Linked DNA regions of Mus musculus. The main gene of each other region encodes a partner of the protein of the gene in region 3 in a complex. Links are inferred from orthologs where the notes say so. Each region holds a gene or a part of one and is shown on either strand. Other genes may lie near its edges. The genes, in order: Ormdl3, Sptssa and Sptlc2.

What was found.
Region 1: the proteins of Sptlc2 (region 3) and Ormdl3 are in contact, whole or in part, in a cryo-EM structure (PDB 7K0O), measured with the Homo sapiens proteins. The link is inferred for Mus musculus from reciprocal best matches to the Homo sapiens genes SPTLC2 and ORMDL3. Residues at the interface, in NP_004854.1 of Homo sapiens: Glu65, Thr66, Pro67, Met68, Ala71, Val72, Tyr75, Tyr86, Gln116, Phe118, Glu119, Asn120, Phe121, Tyr122, Tyr127, Trp134, Asp259, Glu260, Leu261, Asn262, Val267, Arg271, Ile279, Met320, Val495, Val496, Gly497, Phe498, Pro499, Ala500; in NP_001307730.1 of Homo sapiens: Met1, Asn2, Val3, Gly4, Thr5, Ala6, His7, Ser8, Pro12, Val16, Ser19, Arg20, Gly21, Ile22, Leu24, Ser25, Leu28, Phe63, Val67, Lys68, Gly69, Thr70, Pro71, Phe72, Glu73, Pro75, Gln77, Arg81.
Region 2: the proteins of Sptlc2 (region 3) and Sptssa are in contact, whole or in part, in a cryo-EM structure (PDB 7K0K), measured with the Homo sapiens proteins. The link is inferred for Mus musculus from reciprocal best matches to the Homo sapiens genes SPTLC2 and SPTSSA. Residues at the interface, in NP_004854.1 of Homo sapiens: Leu73, Gly77, Val80, Leu81, Phe84, Leu87, Arg88, Leu91, Leu126, Arg129, Ile130, Tyr156, Met475, Pro476, Ala477, Lys478, Gly480, Ala481, Arg484, Glu485, Asp533, Leu534, Leu535, Gln536; in NP_612145.2 of Homo sapiens: Trp15, Tyr18, Gln19, Leu21, Leu22, Val23, Thr24, Ala25, Tyr27, Met28, Leu29, Glu30, Pro31, Trp32, Glu33, Val36, Phe37.

The regions. Positions count from the first base shown.
Region 1 is NC_000077.6:98,580,678-98,584,267, forward strand, and holds the end of Ormdl3 (ORM1-like protein 3), read right to left. Parts: intron 3,464-3,590; 5' UTR 3,439-3,463; coding exon 3,265-3,438; intron 2,611-3,264; coding exon 2,459-2,610; intron 2,171-2,458; coding exon 2,035-2,170; 3' UTR 617-2,034; downstream 1-616. UniProt on the Homo sapiens protein: Plays an essential role in the homeostatic regulation of sphingolipid de novo biosynthesis by modulating the activity of the serine palmitoyltransferase (SPT) in response to ceramide levels.
Region 2 is NC_000078.6:54,653,740-54,658,101, reverse strand, and holds the start of Sptssa (serine palmitoyltransferase small subunit A), read left to right. Parts: upstream 1-1,529; 5' UTR 1,530-1,618; coding exon 1,619-1,730; intron 1,731-4,362. UniProt on the Homo sapiens protein: Component of the serine palmitoyltransferase multisubunit enzyme (SPT) that catalyzes the initial and rate-limiting step in sphingolipid biosynthesis by condensing L-serine and activated acyl-CoA (most commonly palmitoyl-CoA) to form long-chain bases.
Region 3 is NC_000078.6:87,385,520-87,389,664, forward strand, and holds the start of Sptlc2 (serine palmitoyltransferase 2), read right to left. Parts: upstream 2,837-4,145; 5' UTR 2,653-2,836; coding exon 2,527-2,652; intron 2,160-2,526; exon of another isoform or gene 1-2,159. UniProt on the Homo sapiens protein: Component of the serine palmitoyltransferase multisubunit enzyme (SPT) that catalyzes the initial and rate-limiting step in sphingolipid biosynthesis by condensing L-serine and activated acyl-CoA (most commonly palmitoyl-CoA) to form long-chain bases.

The DNA.
Region 1 (3,590 bases), on a different chromosome or scaffold from region 3:
CCTCCGCTTGCCTGGAACTTTGTACTGGCCAGGGAGCAGCAGATAGTACACAGGACAGCCCGAGAGGCCAGTGTCCTCGGGAGATAAAGGGAGTGTCCTCCCTCTCCTCGCTGTGCTAGCAAAAGCCACAATGAACCCTCCTCTCCTCCTAATCCTCAAAGCAGGAGGAAGCACAAAGGCCAACCCTCTCCAAAACAGGAACTGGCTGGAAATGACCAAGGTGAGAGAGAAAAGAGGATAGATTCACAGTGCCAGTAGGAAACCGGAGAACCAGAGGTAACCCCCACCCCACTCCACTTGTAAAGGTCTAGACTGGCCTTCCCGGCCACCACGCCCCATTCCAGATTCCCCCAGCCAGACCTATAAAGCCGGATGCTCAGAGCCAACCGAGGACAGCAGGACTCCACTCTGACTTACCAGGGTCCTCACCATCTTCCTCACATCGCCTTTGGCTCCTGGACCTGGAAAAAGGCAGCCGCCCCAGAGTCCCCACTACTGCCTAGGCAGGAGCTGCCGTTGCTCCCACTGCCGCCAGCTTTCCTCCCAGGGCCCACCCGCCAGGAAGCAGAGGCCAGACATGGTAAACAGAACATGTTGCTCTTTATTTGCATTTTTTCAGAATACTGTACAAAGGGAGTAAAAATCCTATTCACACTTTGCTTAGAAAGACCAGAAGGTGAAAGTTCCCTATGATACACTGGGTTCAGAATGAGGGGGAGGGGGACAAACAGGTGAGTGACCTCCCTCCAGCCCCTCCCTGGGAGAGGGCTTGGGTAGCCACGCGTTTCCAAAGGAACATGCCCCAGTCGACCCAGCGAGTGGAGAGACAGCTCCTCTCGGCCTAGCCTCAGGCTCCATGACCTGCCTCTCTTTGGGCTGAGGACAGTGCCTGCAGCTGCCCCTACTACTGCCTGGTTTGGGCAGAGATCCTGTAGCACTGTGGAGGCCACTGACCACATGTGGAGGTGGCCTCCTGACCATTCACATGCAAGCCACACAAGAGGCACTGCCCCAGCACAATCTACACAAGAATACGAATTGAACGCTTAAGGAAGAGCCTCTCAGAAAGCTTCCGCGCGCGCCCACACACACCACTAAGGGAAGTGTCGAAGTGAACCCGCTTCTGAGGACTCACAGGCCCTTCCAGCCTGTGCATATCCTCATTCCAACCCAGGAGTTCAAACCCACAGGGGCCTCCCTTCCTATCAGCATCGTTCTGTGGGTAAATTAACCCTCCACGCCAGCTCTCCTCCTAGCCCACATCTCAGAGGAGGCGGAGTCTGGCTTCTCCTTCCCAGACCTCTTTTTTTTTTACACTGATCCATATCGGCTGCAGTTATCTTGTCCATTCTAAGTAAGACCCAACTTACTATCCCCACCCAACCCTTGCTCAGAACTCCCCTCTCCCCAGGACCAAGGTGGCAGCATCCTGTCCCCACCTCTAGGTGTCCCATCAACCCATCTTCCTTTCCTAATCTCCCCTGCCCCACAGCCTACCCATCGTGGGTTGCCAGGAAGCCCACAAAGCCCGCCTGCTCCCTGCCTGGCGGCAGAGGCAGCACGGCGCAGGGTTCTAATACATACAGAACAGCGAGTCTCGCTTCACACACTGAAGGAATGAGGGCAACCAATGCAGAAGCTGTACCGTCCCTCTGCCCCCCTTTTTGGGGGCTAAAGTGCTATGGCTGCCTGAGGGTAAACAAGCCAACAGGGCCTTTTCCTGGCTTCCTGTCCCAATTTCTCAGGCCCACAGTCAGCCAGAGAGCCCAGCCTCTTTCCTGACCACCCCCATGGCATCTCTATTCAAAAGGCAAAAGGAAAAAGATCAAAAACTTCAGAATGGGTTAGAGCCCAAGGGCCCCACCCTAACCCCACTACAAGCTACTCCAAGTCGGCTACTGGGGAAGCGAGGGGGAAGCCAGGCCCAGGGCACACCCCCATCTCTGGCAGTGTCCAGAGGCTCCTGTCTTCAGCATCACAGCAAAGGCCTTCCACCCTTCCCCTGCCAACCCGGCTGGGGAAGGGGCTACAACCTCAGTACTTATTGATTCCAAAGATCCGGACTCCGTGGAGCTGGGGGAGCTTGGGAATGAGCACAGTCATCAAGGACACAGTGTTGAGTATGAAATGGACTTGGTCATACTTGGTGTAGAAGCTGGTGAGGAAGTACCTGGAGGGGAGGGAGGGAGGGAGGGAAGGAGGAAATATGGGTTCCCAGATAAGAAGTGGAGTGACAACTCTCTAGCTAGCAAGGCCCTCCTGACCTACCTTCCCCCCCAGCTTACTCCAGTGAGGAAAGACAGGGCCAGGGAGGCCAAAGGCCCCGTGTGAGACCCAAGAATATGTCTCTTCCCTCCCTCTGCTCATCCATACAGCAAGGGCCAAAGCTGGGAGGGTTTAGGGCCAGCTGAGCCCACCCGTTTACCTCTGCTTATTCTCCCATAGCCAGAGTACTCACAGCACTATAGGCGTGATGGTTAAGAACTTCCTAGAGGCTGTGAACTGGACCCCGTAGTCCATCTGCTCCCAGTGGGTCAGCAACCTTGCTTTGCCTTGGTCTGGAGTCTCGAAGGGCGTCCCTTTCACGGTGTGCAGAAAGATGTACATGCCCTGAAAAGAGGGGCCTTTGTCAGAACATACGAGATGGCTCCCAGCCTGGCTCCCCCACTTATCAGACAGCAGCAGCTCTGGGTGGACTGCCACCTGCTCTGCTGCAGTAACTCAGGAAGGCAGCCTTAACACAGGAGAGCGCACCAGAGCTTGGTGGGAGAACAAGGGGGGAAATAAGGAAGGAACGGACACAGCAAGGCAGCCTTTCCAGCCCAACTGGGGTCTCTACATGTTAGCTAAAAGGAGCAAACCAAGGAGGAAGGACTAGACCCCAGCCTGCTCAAAAGTGGGGTACAAAGCAGCAGGTTTTAGGGAGCACAGAGGATTATGAGATCCTAATATGGGAAAAGAATGTCTCTGCACAGATTCCTGGGACCTGGGGGCAGCCTCAGCATGGGCTCAGCTCCCAGTTTGCTGTCCTTCAAACACACCAGCCACCCAACTAGGGAGACATGGACGATGTGCAAATTTGATTCTAAAGCCCACAAGGGGGAGCCAGGTAAGAGTTGGGCCTGGGCTCTGGTGACAGATGTTGTCAGGACCTGCTGTCTGTCCCATTAGAAGCTCCTCCTATCTCTCAGCTCTGGCCTAGAACAGCCCGCACGGGGGGTGGGGGGGGGGTGGGGGGGTGGCTGGTGGTAAGCAGGATCTTACCAGGTTGTGGATAAGGTTGGTGAGGGTCCAGACGACAGGGACGCTCACAAAGGGAATGCTCAGCAGCACGACATGCAGGAGTCCGATGGCCAGCACGTAGGAGAGCCAGATGCCGCGACTGTTCATCACCCGTGTGTTGGGGTTCACCTCACTGTGTGCTGTGCCCACATTCATCCTGCCACCCCTCTTGACTGCCGCTCTGCAAAAGAGCAACACAGGTGAGACAAGTCACACCACTTTCCCTGCCCCTCACACCCCAAGCCCCAGAGAGGCAGGCTTTTCACTCCCTGAGAACTCCACACCACTGTCCACTGTTGGGAGTCTCA
Region 2 (4,362 bases), about 33 Mb from region 3:
AGGAAACTTCCAGCTCAGATCCAGCTTGGTTTCTGAGCTTACTTCTTACCATCATGTGTCTGAAAGATGAGTCCAGGCTCGGTGTGGTTGGTGCATACCTGTAATCGTAGCTCGAAGGAGTCTGAGAAAGGTGAATTACTTTGAGATCGAGGCCAGCCTATACTACATAGTGAGGTCCTGTATATTGGTTAAGTTATTTTTGTTTTTGTTTTTCATTTCCACAAAAAACTAGAATCACTTGGGAAGAGGGAACCTTAGCTGAGGAACATGAGATTGGTCTATGGTGGGCGTGTCCTCCCTACTGTGGGCAGTGCCATTGCTAGGCAAGTGGGGTCTGGGCCGTTTAAGAAAGCAAGTTGAGCAAGCCAGAAAGAGCATGCTCCTAAGCAGTATTCCTCTGTGGTTTCTGCTTCAATCTCCTGCCTGGAGTTCCTGGCTTGGCTTCCCTCCGTGATGTTCTGTAACCTACAAGACGAAATAAAATAAAATAAAATGACTAGGCACCTTGTGAAAGCAGATCTCAAGTCTATTGTTGTTTGTAAGGTCTTTGCTCGTAAGGAGCATAAGGAATTTAAGTTAATACCTGTCAACCTGGAAAGGTTTTAAAGCTTAAAGCAGCAGGTTTGAAACTTTTAGACATGTGAGTTGCAGGCTACTTAATTATGTCATTTCACAAGCACACAGTGCATGGGCTTTAGAGGAGTGGAATACAGCCGGTACTGCTGCAGGTCATAGGAGTGAATCTTTAGGAGACAGATCACATGCTGACCTCAAGCTGTCTTTAGAACCCACTAGATCAAGTGCACTTCTCTTGATTGTGACCTACATGGTTGTTTTCTAAGTGTAGTCATAGAAATATTGGCAACTGTCTATGGCCAATTCTTTTGTCTTTAGGTTAGGGAATACTAGTGCGTGTGTGTGTGTGTGTGTTGTGTGTGTGTGTACTCGCGCGCGCATCCTAGATAGGTCTGTTTTCACGCATGTGCTCGGAGGAAGGGAAGAGCTGATGAACATATTACTTCTACAGTTTTCAACATCTTCTTGGCTGGGTGTCATTTGGCATCCACATTCTCTTTGACCCCCGCATTCCCTCTTGCACAAGGCACTGTTTATTTGCATGCCCGACTCTTTAGTAGCATTCTCACCCAGCCCTATCATCTCTTGGCCCAGAAGGGATTCATGAGGTAGGAGAGAGATTACATACACTGGTTTCTAAAGGAATCCTTCTGGGCTGGTCTGAAGGATCCGGCCTCTTAAGGGCACCATCTCGCATGGACACCAGTGGGGACTGAAGCCGGTCTTGCAACCGCCATGCGTGCGCGTGGAGATGCAGAACTAGCACTTAAACCCAGACCGTTTCCCAGGGCTGGGGAGCTCGCTCCGGGCGAGGCGCGGGGCGGGACAGGAGCACACGAAGTGGCCGCTTGGCCAATAAGCGCAAGCCAGGAGGAGCCGGCGGTGGCCGCTCGGGTGCGCGCGGGGTTGGGCGTACACGGTGACGCGCAGGCTCGGCAGGACCAATGGGCGCAGGGTGGTGGCGGGCGGGCCCCAAGGCCTGGGGCTTTAGGAGGTGAGCGGGCCGCGGGCCCGCCTGACGCTGCTACACCGCGGGAGGCGCATGGCGGGCATGGCGCTGGCGCGAGCATGGAAGCAGATGTCCTGGTTCTACTACCAGTACCTGCTGGTCACTGCGCTCTACATGCTGGAGCCCTGGGAGCGAACCGTGTTCAGTATCCTGTGTGTCCTGGCCTGGCTGGGGCGTGGAGGGGTGCGCGCGCCGGGTTGGAAGGGGGTGGGGGGGTGTCTTGGGGTCAAGGGAGGTGGAACCGCGGAGATCCGGGTCTTGTACGCAATTCCCCTGCCCAAGGTGGAGGCATCCTGATTTCTGCAAGCAGTCGGGAGGGCGACGTCTCCCCTGGTGCTTCCTTGTCCCGCTTCGGCCGCGCCTGCTTTTGATCCTTCAGTATTCTTTGAGGCAGGGTTGCTGCAAATCGCTCCGGGCTTGGGCGTCTTTAACCCTTAGCTATTCCTGATTTGGAGCGATAGAACTCTAACCAGTTCACCAGGTTGTGAGTACGTGGTCTTGACACTCCCACACAGTTTTGGAAAGCAGTTTGTAAGTTACTGAAAGGCCTTTTGGGCTTCAAAATGGCAGTTTTAAAAGTGTGTTATATTTATGACTTCTTTGCATCATAGGTACAAGCTGTGCCCAGAAAAGACTTTGCTGGGGTTTCAAACTGTGCTTTGTTGTTTAGTTTATCACCGGTTAAGAATTGTTGAGTGATGACTTTGCTGAGCACTTTGTGTGTATGTTATCTTGCCTAATTTTAACAGCTCCAGCGAATAGCTCAAGGTTGTGAAGCCTGATGTTTGTTTTCGCCCAATGTCTATGCCGCTATCCTCTGATTTCCGTGTCGACGAAATACTAGCAATTCATTCTTTTAACGCTCCACTTCTCCTTTCCTTAATATAAAAAGAATATACCACATCACATGCTTATTTCATCCGCTCAGCTTCTTGTGGTTTAGCTTTGTTAGGAACAACTTCACAAACGCGTTCCTAGGACTGAGGTAGAGCTTCTTTGCAAGCTTTTTCAAGGGTGCTGGTGTGGAAATAGCATGAGGTTATTTGGAGCTGACTCTTGAAAAATTTTAGCGTCTTGCAAGACTATTACTGTGAGCAATTATTTCCTAACCTAAAGTTTAATAACCAGAATGTATATTTGGGGCTCCGGATTAAGAAAGCCTGATTTTCCGAATCGTTTATTTGTAGCTTCAGTTTGCTCTTTGGATTTTGTAGGTCAGATAACATCTATATTTAAATTTATGCCTAATTGGAACTTTTCAATAGTAGCAGGTAATCTTTTGATTAATTCATTAATTAATTCAAAACACGGTTTCTCTGTGTACCCCTGGATGTCCTGGAACTCATTCTGTAGACCAGGCTGGGTAGCAGTTAATCTTGACTGATAATTATCTTACTACAATTAATGTTGACAAAGCCCCATTAAATAATAATAATGAAAGCCAGCTGTGATGGTTCATGACTGATTACCATGCTCAGAGAGCTGATTCAAGAGGAATGCTGGGAGTTCAAGGCTGCCTGAGGTACATAATACATAGCTACTACCAGGCAAGCCAGGGTTACATAGCAAAACTCAAAGGAAAAGGAAGCCAGGCAGGCAGGCAAAGAAACAGTGTTGGGGTGAAGTGAAACTCTTTAGGTTAGGGTAACAGTAGAACTCAGTTTAGACCTGTAAGCTTTGAAACATTTGTTGGCATGTGGATAAATGCTACAGTGGCAACAGTGTTAAGATTTCTCTGGCTATATTGTAATAGAAATACTGACCCGGGGCCAGATGGCAGTGGCTCACATCTCTAAACCCAGCACTCTGGCAGCAGAAGCACACCGATCTCTGAGTTTGAGGACAGCTTGGTCTACAGAAAGAGTTCCAGGACAACCAAGGCTACACAGAGAAACCCTGTTTCCAAGGGGGGGGGGGGAATTTTTGTTTGAAAAAGTGCCTTTTTCTGTTCTTCTGTTCAAATAGTTGTGGGCATGGCTAGGTGTGGTGGTGCATGCTTGCCTGTAATTCTAGTACTTGGGGAGGTAGCTTCAGGAGCATCAGCAGTTAAAGGCTAGCTTCAGCTACATGTAGGTTTGAGGGCAGCGTTGGCTTCATGAAACCCTGTTCCTCAGAAAACACAGAACCAAACCAAGCCACCCCCACCAAAGGTGCTGATAGAATTACTGTTTCCTTTTGGAGACAGGGCTTGGTGCTGTGCCAGATGTCTGTTATCTGAATGAAAACATTACCCAGGTTAGTTATTATGCCGTTGTTTGCTGTGTTAGAGGTTCTTTGTGTCCCCGGGAAATGTACAGTTATGAGATTGAGGAAGAGGAGAGAGAGTGAGGCGGGGAATGGCAAGACCTAGTAGCCCAGGGAAAGATCTCTGATGGTCTTAATAACTCTCTTAGCTTCCTGGGAGATTGTCTCCTCAGCTCCCAGTTCCTAAGCTTTGGTTTGTTTTGCACTACCTTTGAATTGAGAATGTTAGAATACAGGGCTGGTAAGATGGCTCAGGGGTTAAGAGCACTGACTGCTCTCTCCCAGGGGTCCTGAGTTCAATTCCCAGCAACCACATGGTGGCTCACAACCAACTGTAATGGGATCTGGTGCCCTCTTCTGGTGTGTCTGAAGACAACTACAGTGCACTCAGATGTATAAAATAAATAACTAGAAACAAAGAAAGAGAGAGAATGTTAGACTACCTACTAGCTGTACTCCTGTGTAAGATAAGGAAGACAATGCCTAAGGTCTGGTCTGTGTCCCACAGTGCTTCAGCTTGTGATACCATTTGT
Region 3 (4,145 bases):
ACTTTAGTGAAAGCAAGACCCTTGGGTATCTAGTTTGCATCTTACTGTGTATTTTCAGAAAAAGAAAAAGAAAAAAAAAAAGGCAATACTCCCCCTTCAGGATGCAAGGAAAGACAGGTAGGAGCTGGAGCACATAGATTTAATTTAACACAACCAACTTCACGAACTATTTTAAGATATTCTCTTTTTCTCATAAACTTAGAGATCTTATTCCTTATAAATGTAGTACCTGCTTTAAAATAATTTGTGAAAAATCGTTTTCTCGAAAAGATAGTAGTACAGCCCTTAGGATATTCTATCACAGCTAGTCACAGATTTTTATATTTCATTTTAGTAACTTGGTATTTCATCTTAATAGTTGCCAACCTCTGAAGAAATACCATGCTTACAAATGATAATTGCTGGGATTCCAGGAGGTCAGAACTTGACTTACTATTTACTCAAAATATAACTCCTAGTGGCTTATGTTAGAAAGCACCTCTAACACATGCCCAGCTTTGTCTGGACTTCCTTTTTCCTCACAAAAGTCCTAACTCACCCATTCATCAGTTCTCTTCTAGCTCCAGTTACTCAACCTCCCAGATACATTCTATACCTCCACAACGTTGCTCATTAGCCATTTTACACTTCTAGGGAAAACAGCACATTCTTTCATGGCTCATAACAGACTGACTCCTCCCCACATCCCCGTTTTTTGGAGGCAGGGTCCCTCATCGCCCTGCTGTCCTAGAACCCACTATGCAGACCAGGCCAGCCTGAGCTCAGAGATATACCTGCCTGAGGGCTGGGATTACAAACAAGTCATATCAAACTCAGACTGCAAACTGACTCCTAACACACCTCCTCTCACACAATTCTTTTTGAAAGCAATCTTTTGACTCTTAAACACCTTACACACTCAAGGGAGGCCAAGTCTTTTCTGTGCACTCCCACTCCTAACCCTCAACTCTCCCCCAGGGTCATAAGACTTGAAGATAACCCTTTCATACCACAGGATTAACACATCTATCAGAGTTACTGATTCAGGTAGGGGACAGGTTGCTATTGCTTAGTATCTATGTTGAAGATGAAATAGGGTCACTGACCTATCAAAACTACACCAATCACACTCCTGCTAAGGGGAACGAGCAACTTTTAAAACCATTCTTCCCGATATTTGCATAATTGGTTTAAAAAATACTGCCAGGAGCCAGGGGGTAGAGTAGCACATGCCTTGAATCCTAGCACTTGGGAGGCAGAGGCAGGTCTGTGAGTTCGAGGCCAGCCTGGTCAACACAGTGAGTTCCAGGACAGCCAGGGCTACACAGAGAAACCCTGTCTCAGAAAATAAATAAATAAATAAAACTGTCAGGAAAGCCAGGTGTTGGGGTCTTAGTTGCTCTTGGGAGGCAAAGGCAGATCTCTTTTAAGTTGGAAGTCAGGCTTAGTCTACAAAGCAGAACAGCCTGAGAGGGCTGTTACTCAGAGAAACCATGTCTGGAAACAAGCAAAATACTGCTAGGAATTCAGAATTCTGTAAGATAGTTTAGAAGTTCATGGATATGGTTGATGATTCAACTTCAGTTAATTAATACAAGGACTCATGACAACTTACCACTGGATTAAGCAACGCCCTCCACGATAGCTCTATTGCGCCGTGAAGGGGCCACCTAAAATCCTATCTGGATGGTGGGATGGGGGTCTCACCAATCGCACAACGGGACAATTTTCAAGACAAGACCCCCGAGGAGGTTCCCTGCCAAGGTTTTCCCCATAAAGGAAGTCCAGAACGTGATAGGAAGAGGCTGTCCGGTTGTGCTTCCACAACTGCACTGCCTAACTTTCTCAGAGCGTCAGCTTCCTTTTGGGGCTGCAAGACTCTACAGGAAGCATGTACTCGAGGGGACCCGGGCAGGAACCCGAGAAAGTATCGCCGGACTTCGAGGGAAAGATTTCCTCTGCTTCCCACTAGGAGCGGCCTGCACTTTTTTTTTTTTTTTTTTGCGTGATCCACATGGTTAAGAACCAGAGACTTGCAGAGGAAGCCCAGCCTCCAGGGCCCTTCAGAACAGCAAATGCTGAGGAGCCGGGCAGACCTCAGGAGTCCCGCGTGGCTGAGGAGCCCCGGGAGGCTGGAGAGCCAGGCAGAACTAGGGGACACCGCACACCTAAGAAACCAGGTAAACCTTGGGACCCCCGCAGGGCAGAGAACCACAGCTCATCGCTGCGGAGCCGGGTAGTACTGGGAAGGCTCGAATAACTGGAGAAGCGGGCAGAACCGAGGAGCCCCTCACGGTGAGGGAGCCCCACATAGTTGTAGAGTCCCGCGCTGCCCTTGAGTCTCCCTCCCGCTCAGGGGGGAGGCCCAGCCAGCGCCGGCTCCCCGTCGCTCAGCACACCTGAGCCGCGCCCAGCCGCCAGCCGGCCACTGACCGGCCCGCGCGGCTGCCCGTCCTCCCCGGCCCGGCCCGGCCCAGCCCGGGCATCGGCTCGCGGGGGTCCCGGCCCACCGCCCCGATCTCGCCCAGCCTCTCGATCCCATCGTACCTGGCCGGCAGCCGCGACGGTGGCGGTGCTGCTCCTCAAGTACCCGTTCCTCACTTCCCCGTTCTTGACGCAGCCGTTCGCCCGCATCGGGCGGCGGCAGCAGCAGCCTCCGGGCTCCGGCCGCATCCTCCCGGCAGCACCCGGCAGCAGGACAGGCTCTGGAGGTGGCGGCGGAGCCAACTCCCGCTCCGCACCGCACCCACCTCTCCGAAACCGGAAATGGCTGCAGCGCCGCTGCCAATTCCCGGTCCGGCCGTCACGCGAGGGCGGGGCCACCCGAGAAGACGGGGCTCGCCGAAGCCCGGCAGCCGGAGGGAACATGGGGCGGGGTCTATCGGCTATTGACCAATCCAAAGGCGAGAGGGGCGGATCTCATGCTGATTCTGGCGAATTAAGAGCAAGGGAAAAGCGGCTTGCAGACATCAAGGGGACTTCTTCAGAGGAACTCGAGAACTGAGCAATTGATTGGAGCCCTAGCCAGGTCGTAGGTGGAGCTTTGCCGCCTACTGGTCCAGGTTGAGAAGGAGGCGGAGCCCGGAAAGGAACAGCCAATTAGAGTGTGGAGAAAGAAACAGGGGCTGAGCCTATTTCCAGAGCCTGTTCCCGGTTCTCTAGCACTGGTGGTGGTTGCCCTCTGTGCCCTTCCTCCCGAGAGGTTCTCAGGTTGAATCCGAGCCCAAGACAGGCAGCTCCTTTATTTCATTAGCAAATTCCTCTGTGGGTGTTAATAGAATAGCCTTTTTGACAGTCTCTCACTGTTCTTCATTGTGAACTACGCGAACGCCTCGCGCGCACATCACTTGTTTCTATCCGGGTTTTCCTAGGGCAATTTCCTTTGAAGACTTTCCTTGAAAGTCAGGAGACTTGATCTGTTTCCAGATCTTGTGATAACTGAAACTGAAACTTGAGGAATTAACTCCTTTAGGAGCCAAGTTCTTTTAAAATTCTTCCTGCTTCATGGACTCATTTGCCAGAATTACATTAGTAAAGCGCTGGACACCTATCACAATACCTAATCCAAATCAGTAGCAAAAGAAATTGATCTACATTTCAGCATTACAAAGACCTTTAGTTACCCATAAAAAAAAAAATCAATGTCATAATTAAGAGTATGACTCAGTCTAGGTTTGAATCCTGGCTGCCTCACCTACTAGCTGAGTGACCTCTATGTTCCTCTGCTCAGGGGGATAATAACAGTTGCCATAAGAGAATCTAATGAGTTAATGCCTGTAATGTATTTTGCTTAGGACCTGGCAATTAGTAAGTATTCATTAAGTGCTGGTTATTATTAATTGCCGAATGCATCTGTGTGAATCCCTGTGTCACACAACCCCTTCTCCCCTGGAGCTTTAGAACTGCGTTGGCAAGGTTATTTGTTTTGCTTGATTTAGAAGAGGTACTCTTAACAGCAAGTGGAGCAAGGACAAAACTTTCAAGTCACAAACCCTTTGATCTCAAAAGTGAACACGAGAATCAAAAAGAACTCTATGGGGCCTGGAGAGATGGCTCAGCAGTGAAGTACTGGACACTGCTTGTCCAGAGTACCTGGATTTGGTTCTAGCACCCACATGGTGGCTCACAGCTATCTATAACTCCAGTGCCAGAGGAATCAAAGCCTT